2 linked regions of the Sus scrofa genome follow. The protein of the gene in region 2 purifies or fractionates together with the protein of the main gene of each other region. This does not show direct contact. Links are inferred from orthologs where the notes say so. Each region holds a gene or a part of one and is shown on either strand. Other genes may lie near its edges.

Region 1 (4,355 bases), on a different chromosome or scaffold from region 2:
GAAAGTGAACTGAACTCACTTTCCCAAATTAGAGTCCTGGGGTGGACCTGGGGGAGAGAAACACAAGCGTGCTCGACTCGGACACATGAAAGGAGGAGAGAGAGACTTACACATTTTGAGTTCTGTCTCCACTTCCTGCTGTCGCCGTTCAATTTTTTCTCGTCTCTGTGAGAAAAAGGGCAGACCACTGAATACACAGAGACGTGCCCTGATGTCAGGGAAGAGGGAAGAGGCAAAAGGAAGATACGGGGCCATGAGGCAAACGTGACATACCTTCCTCTCCATTCGTTCCTCCCGGGTTTCTGCTCGAGTTGGAGGAGGGGCATCTCGAGGGTCCTGGGAACAAAAAGAGGTGACAGGGTGGGAGGGACAGGGGAAAATAGCAAGGGACGCCATCCAGGAAATAATGAGCATCTCAGCCACGCCCCTGCGCTTGTACACACACGCATGTGTGCAAACACAGCCAGTTCCTAGGCCAGTGGAGGTGGGGGAATGGTGCAAATCAAAGCATGATCCATGCCCCATGCTATCTGGGAACTGTTACTGGTCTGTGACAAGAGAACTACAGAAACTGGCATTAAGTATTCAGAAACCTCGACAGCAATCTGACAGAGTAGCTTTATATCTGTTGAACTCAACAAATGAAATTTGATTTGTTTTTTTTTTAACTTTGTAGCCTTTCTCTAAAAATACTAGAAAGTGAAAATAATCCTTGTGTTTATCAAAAGCACCACTCTGCAGCAGACTTGTCCTTAATCACAGATAAGAATTGGGACCAGGCCTGAAGCAAAAGAAGCTGACAGTGCAGTGCTCAGAGGCAAACAACTGGACACCTTCTGAGGGCCAGGGTAGTTCCTGAAGGTCTCGGCGAGCACTCATTAAACAGTAACTGTCACATGACCACATCTGCCGCCAGCCTGTAACTACTGCATTGACTTAACTGGCTAGTCATATTTTCCAAATACCGGTTCACCGAGGCTGGCAAATACTACTATAGAGCCAACCTCCTGTCACCTCTGTACTAAACTTCTGCTCCACAACTTCCTTCACCTCCCCGTTCCCACCTGATGCCAGAACTTTCTTCTTCTGACTCCTGTGTGCCAGCACTTCTCGGGTGTCCGCCGATGCACCTCAACAGGTGGATGTTGTTAACCCAATTTCGAAAATGAAAAAACCGAGGCCCATGGGCCAAAGCCATTTATCTCTGTTCACCCTGCAGGTACAAAGCTGCAATTCTCAAGCCTGTGGTCTTCAATGCACCAATCACCAAGTGCTAACCCTTTACAAATTTCACCATATTAATGACCAAAATGGTCATTATACGTTAAGAAATAATTGATGTTTACTGACTGCTTGGCGTCAAGCCCCATAACGTTAAAAAAAAAAAAAAAACAAACAGTCAATTCTCCATCAAATTACATCAAAGACACTAATATTCCCTTGCTAAACATGGGGGGGAAAAAAATCACAGCAGTTAGAGGATACACCTCTTGCCCAAGATCATCACGCAACCGATAAATGGCGCACCAAGGACTACCTAACTCGAGAGTCTGAATCCTCAACTGGTAGTTACTGAATTTTCACAAAAGCCCTACAAGGGCTGTGTTACCAATCTAAGACAGGGAAACAGGATAAAAGCCACCTTCCTCAATCACACAGCTAGAAAATCGCCAGAGACCAGACTCCCCGATCCAGCCCACTCCAAGCCTCTTCAGTGAACTCACCTCAAACTCTCGGATGTAGGGCGCAATGCCACAGTAAGGTTGATTGTGGTGTTTTTCATGTGGCAGTTTCTCCAGGGGTGGCAGGTATGGGATGGGGTCACGGGGAGCAAAGAGGGCCAGAAGGTTGGGCGGCAGGAACTGGGTCATCGTGCCAAGTCTGAGAGCAGAAGCAGGACCATCTTATGTTAGGGTGGGCTGGGGAGATGAAGCCCCTATCAATCCCTTGCCTCCCAAGAAAAGAGAGAAACACGGACAAAAATCTCAAAGTCTCCTGTAAGGACACAGAGCGCGATCGATCCTTAATCACAGGGGCAAGCAGATTCTAGAGGGAGGGCTGTGTGAACGGGAGGGGAGGGGGAGGGCAAGAGAAGAGAAACAAAGACTGAAAACAGGTTTCCGAGCAGTGAAGTCCTGAGCAAGGAACTGCGGGGCTGAAGGTCCCTGGGGGCTTGTGGGGCATCAAGGATCCCGAGGAAGGAGGTCTAGGGCCGTGGCGGCTGGTGGTCCCGCACCTTGGATAAAAGGTTATAGGGGGAGGACCGCAAGAGGTCTCTGATCAGGAGAAGGGGTCAGTCATAAACAGCAAACCTCTCAAGCCAGGGGGTTGTGGGTAATAGATCTAGGCCCCGCAGGCGAAGTGGATTGTGGGTAAGGGTCCAGGACGGAAGGGAAGCGAGGACGAAAAAAGGCAACACAGCGCAAAGGCCTGTGGGTAAGTGACCGCTGAGGGCGGGGGAGGGGGACTATGGAAAAAGCCTAAGTGACCGGAGAACTCTGGGTAAGGCGTGCAAAAAGGTTCTGTGGTGGCGGTGGCGCGGGAAGACTGCCCGGCCCCGGGGAAGGGACTGGGATCCACCGCAGGGGCTTGTGGGTAGCGGCCCCGCACCCGGTAAGGCCACTCAGTCATACTCACCCGCCGCGCGGCGCCCTCCTCGGCCTGGCGACGGTCCAGGGGCTCGCGGCGGCCCCACAGCAGCAGGTACTCTAGCTCTAGCTTCGACTCAGACGGCGACCGCGTCTCTCAGTCTCTGTCGCCCGCCCAGCGCGCGCACCAGGCCACAGCTCACGAGCCCGCGCGGCCTCGGCTCGCGACAGGGGCAAGGGGTGGAACCAGCCTCAAATCCCTCCGCCGACCCTATTGCGCACGCGCCGCGCGAGTCAAGTGCAACCCACACACAGGAACCTTGGCGCCGCTGCGAGCACTGCGCACGCGCGAGGCCACTACCCCGCCTTCCGGCACCTTAAACTCCTTTGCCGCGGCGGGATGAAGGTCACAGTGCGCACGCGCGCTCCGCCCCAAGCGGTCCCCTTTCACCTCGCGCTCAGGGCTCCAACTGCCTCTGTCCGCGAGACTCTTGATGCTCCACGCCTTTTCTTACACACTTCCCGGATCTTGCGCGCATGCCTGTAACGTCTTTCACACTGAAATATCCTTCCGCCGCCTGGCAAAGAGTTCCTACGTGAACAGTGTGATTCCTTAACCTAGGAAATCAGTAACTGTTCATTGAGCGCCCAATGTGTGCGTGGCGTTGTTTGGGCTCTGGCGATATACCATGCGACTGAAGCGAAGTCTTTTCCTTTTTGGAGCTTACATTGTACTGAGGGAGACAATAAAGGCACTTAAAAAGATAAATTTCGGACGGTGGCCAACACAGTAAAGAAAAATAGGGCCGAGTACGGGAATGGGCGGGGATAGAGGGGTTATTTTAGAACTAGGTCCTTCTGGAGAAGGAGACTGATGGAAGGGAGATCTGGGCGGGTTTAACAGCAAGTGCAAAGGTCCTGAATTGGGGCGGAAAGTGGGAATCTCATGTTGGCTGAGAGAGCAGAGAGCTGGCGGATTATTTAGGGCCCTGTAGACCTGTAAGAAGTTAAAATATTTGAAGTTTGGGGAATAGATTCAATTGCCTGTTTGATAATAATTACAGAAATTACTACAAAATTTAAATGGCTAATATCATGCTACTTAAAAAAAATATCCTGAAGCGTTCTCTCGTGGCGCAGCAAGTTAAGAATGAGCATTGTTACTGCATTGGCTTGGGTTGCTGATGTGGAGCAGGTGCCACCTCTGGCCAGGGCACATCGACATGCCATGGGCATGGCTTAAAAAACAGATAACGTATACATAGACACGTTTGCTTTCTGTGTATATGTATGTGGGAACTCTGCACTATTTTTTGGAACTTTTCCATAATTCTAAAATTACTTCAAAATAAAAAGTTTGAAGAAAAATAAAGCTAATAATAATGTATTTTTTTTTAGTACCATTGGATAGTAAATGGCTGAGACACTGCACCTCTAAATGCTTCAGCATGTCTCCTAAGAATAATGGCATCCTCTGCCCAACAACACAGCTATTTTCACCTCTTAGAAAGTTTATCCAGCCCCTATTCAGATTTTCCCAGTTGACTCATGAGAACTCTATCTTAATCTGAAACAGGAGCCAGTCAATGTTCACGCGTTTATTTGGTTATCATGTCTCTCTCGCCTCTTTAACATAGAATAGACACACACACACACACACACACACACACACACACACACACACACACTGCGTTATGTTGTTGTTTTCCCCCGAGTTTGGTGTGCAGTCCTATGTCCTGCATTCTGACTTTGTCTGATTATTTCCTC
Region 2 (3,645 bases):
TAACTAATCCATCTGGACATACGTTCTGTTGTCAGATGTACAGATTTCATCTATTATTTTAGGTGGGTGTTGTTTCACAAGAGTACCAGGAGATAATTGTCTTTCCAGTGCTGGGGAATATGCTTTCCTAAAAACATCTTTTATATTTTTGTCTTTATTCTTGAAATTAGTCAGTAGAAATGAATATCCTTTTCCTTTGCTACTAAATATCTTCCTTGCTCCTAAATATTCTCCTCTTAATTTGGCTCTTGGTTATCCTAGACTAAATAATACAGTGTGCTCATGCAATAGTTCATGCAAACAAATAATTCTTGTCTTCTTCAATTTAAGACTTCCCGTGGAATTGATGCTGAGAAGGTGAATCTGGTGGTAAACCTGGATGTCCCATTGGATTGGGAGACATATATGCATCGGATTGGTAGAGCTGGCCGCTTTGGTAATAAAAATAAAAAAAAAAAAAAGAATTTGGGTGCTTTCTTTAAGGGGAAGGATCTGTAATGTGACATGTGGACTTGAAGCATCATCTATGTGAAAACGATTTACTATTTAACGTTCCTTCTGTGCTTTAGGTACTTTGGGACTGACAGTGACCTACTGCTGCAGGGGAGAAGAGGAAAATATGATGATGAAAATTGCCCAGAAATGTCATATTAACCTTCTGCTTTTACCAGGTATATTTTGTCTGTTTAATTTTGCTGTCAAAATTATAGTGGTTATAATGATAGGCCTAATAAAAATAATCGCTAATATAGAGTACTTTTGATGTGTTGGGTACTGTTCTGAGCACTTAAAGTTTGTTAACTCATTTAATTCTCACCACAGTGCTGTGAGATGTGCTACTTTTTGTCAGTGAGGGTATTGACGTATAGCGAGGTTCAGTAACTTGCCTAAGGTTCTGTAGCTAATAAATAGCAGAGAGAAAATTGTAAGACTAATGACACATGAAAAGTGGAAAAATAGTACCCTGTTGTGTTAACTCCATATTTTACTTTGTAGCCTTGTAGTTTGATTTTATTCTTTTATATCAAGGGGTGTATTTTACCTCTTATATTGCCCTGAAGCAGTTCTTGCCATATTCTCCTTTGTCACCATGGGCAAGGAACAGTTTCTTTATTTGAACACTATTCTGAAAATTTTGAAGTATTTTCTTTTGATTTTAACAAGTCATTATTAAGCTGCTTTTTAAAAGTGCCATCTTGGAAACAATGCATGTTTGAAAGTACCAAAGAACTCTTGAAAACTTAAAAAAAAAAAGAATCCTTGGAGTTCCTGTCATGGCTCAGAGGGAACGAATCTGACTAGGGTCCATGAGGATGCAGGTTCGATCCCTAGCCTCACTCAGTGGGTTAAAGATCTGGCGTTGCTGTGAGCTGTGGTGTAGGTTGCAGACACGGTTCGGATCTGGTGTTGCTGTGGCTGTGGTATAGGCCAGCAGCTACAGCTCCAATTCATCCCCTATCCTGGGAACCACCATATGCTGCAGGTGTGGCCCTAAAAAAAAAAAAAAAGACGTAAGAAAAAAAATCCTAAAGAAACTCTTGGATGGAAATACTGTTTATTTGCTGTACAGCTGACCGCTGAACAACGTGGGGGGTTAGAGGTGCCAAGCCTCTGCCCAACAAAAATCCTTATGTAGCTTTCAGCCAGCCCTCCGTATCCATGCTTCTGCATCTGCTAATTCAGCCAAGCATGGATTGTGTAGTATTGTGGTACATACTGGAAAAAAAATCTATGTAAGTGGACCCGCGCAGTTCAAACCTCTGTTCTTCAAGGGTCAGCTCTCTGTGTTAATGTATGTGTGTGTGTGTGTGTGTGTGTGTGTGTGTGTGTGTGTGTGTGTGTGTGTGTGTGTGTGTAGTATGTACGTGACCTTCTAAGAGATGGGATGTGTCGTTACTGAATGACTACAACATGAACATTTTACCAATTTATATTGAACTCCTTTAGTGGTTTTCACAAAGCCGGATTAAGCACAGGTTTGGGAGTACTGTGAATCTAGTACTTTGGCTTTGTGGTAACTCATTTTATGATATTTTTACAGATTTCTTTAATTGCTCTAAGCTTATCTCCTGACTTACAAAATACTTGTCTTTAGATAGTCTTCAGAGTCTCTATCAGTTCTAAGACTATATTATGTTAATTCTCTCTATGTATAAGACATTCATAATTACAAATATGGAGAAAATAAATTGGAAATTGGTACAAAAGCGTTAGGACTTGTGGTAGGATTTAGTATCATAACATGTAGTGATAAAAATAAAATTTGCCTTTGGATACCAGAAAAATGAAATGAAATGTTAACAGAGCCCTGAAATCATGAGAAAGCGGTATTTGTAGTGTTAGATCTGTATTGGACTAGACACTTGTGTGACGCCAGGCTGTTGAGCTGAGTTGCCAGGAGCAGGAGGGAAATTGGCCTGAATGCTCGGTCTCCACAAGCCAGGGGTGTCTCCTTACTAGGAACCTGTGTTTAGCCAGAGGGTCTGTTCAGCAAAAGGTCCAGAGCCCCAGCTTAAGGATCCCCGTCTGAGGGATTAAGTGGTGGACCCGCATACATGCAGCAGCAGCAGCGGCGGCAGACAGGCAGGATCTGCGCAGAGCAGGGCCTCTGTGTACCTGGTCGGCCAGAGATGAAAACCGGTCACCCTTAGGGAAAGTCTGAGTGCAGGTGGAAACAAATGGTCATACCTGCATGGGATAGGAAATTTAGAGAGTTGGGATAGGAAACTTAGAGAGCTGGAGCCAGCACGTTTTTTAAAACTTCAAAGTGCCGTTGGTACCATAGATCTTTTCACAGCCTCTAGCTTTTTCCCCCTCTAGAGTTTTTTCCTGCCGCTGTTGAGGGCAGTGATTTCTCCCTGGTAGAAGTAGGGGGGCAGATTTACTCGGGTAGAGAGTTGCAGCTGTAATATTGATAGGCTTTGGGAGCACTGTCTGTTGTCTACGATCTTGTTTTGCTGTTACCAGCAGTGAGACAGTGGGAGGAGCTGAGGAGTGGAAAGATGGGAGGACGGCTGGAGAGGCCCTCCCACTCCTAGAAGAAGCGCTTGTCTAGGGAGGGTGTGGAGGGAGAGAGTTGCTTGTGAATATGGGATGGGTCTTGAAAATTTGGGGGCAGATTTCTTCACTGCAAGGATGGCTTAAGTCTTAAAATACTAATGTGTTAAGCTTCTTAGTATGTTATTAGTGTATTTTGTTTCTTAATCTCATTTGACCATAGAAAGCTGTTTGAAACCTTTCAGAAAATGCTGGTCTCGAGCAGCTCGAGAATTGAATGTTTCTTTATTCCTTTTATGTAGATCCTATTCCTCCTGGTCTGATGGAAGAATGTTTGGATTGGGATGTGGAGGTTGAAGCTGCCATGCATACATATGACTTAGCAAATGTACCTACCCAGCCTCTAAAAAAGCAAATTCAAAAAATAGAGAGAACCTTTCAAACTCGGAAAGCTCATGGTAACCACGTGGCTTCATCAAGAAATACTTCTGTATCTGCCCTCTCAGTAAAATCAAAAAATAATACCAAACAAAAGCTTCCCATGAAAAGCCACTCAGAATGTGGAGTTGTCGAAAAAGCAGCGTCACCCGAAGAACCGGGCAGTGCTGTACAATTGGAAGAGCAAATGAAGAATTCCGTTCAGAACTC

What was found. The genes of interacting proteins can lie anywhere in the genome.
Region 1: the proteins of DDX20 (region 2) and SNRNP70 purify together in Homo sapiens (affinity purification with mass spectrometry; 4 studies listed by BioGRID and IntAct, counting the BioPlex papers as one, with this or other methods). This does not show direct contact. The link is inferred for Sus scrofa from reciprocal best matches to the Homo sapiens genes DDX20 and SNRNP70.

Annotation. Positions count from the first base shown.
Region 1 is NC_010448.4:54,286,859-54,291,213, reverse strand, and holds the start of SNRNP70 (U1 small nuclear ribonucleoprotein 70 kDa), read right to left. Parts: upstream 2,861-4,355; 5' UTR 2,638-2,860; intron 2,437-2,637; exon of another isoform or gene 2,368-2,436; intron 1,882-2,367; 5' UTR 1,872-1,881; coding exon 1,725-1,871; intron 337-1,724; coding exon 274-336; intron 166-273; coding exon 111-165; intron 1-110. UniProt on the Homo sapiens protein: Component of the spliceosomal U1 snRNP, which is essential for recognition of the pre-mRNA 5' splice-site and the subsequent assembly of the spliceosome. SNRNP70 binds to the loop I region of U1-snRNA.
Region 2 is NC_010446.5:108,626,299-108,629,943, reverse strand, and holds part of DDX20 (probable ATP-dependent RNA helicase DDX20), read left to right. Parts: intron 1-330; coding exon 331-436; intron 437-569; coding exon 570-671; intron 672-3,299; coding exon 3,300-3,645.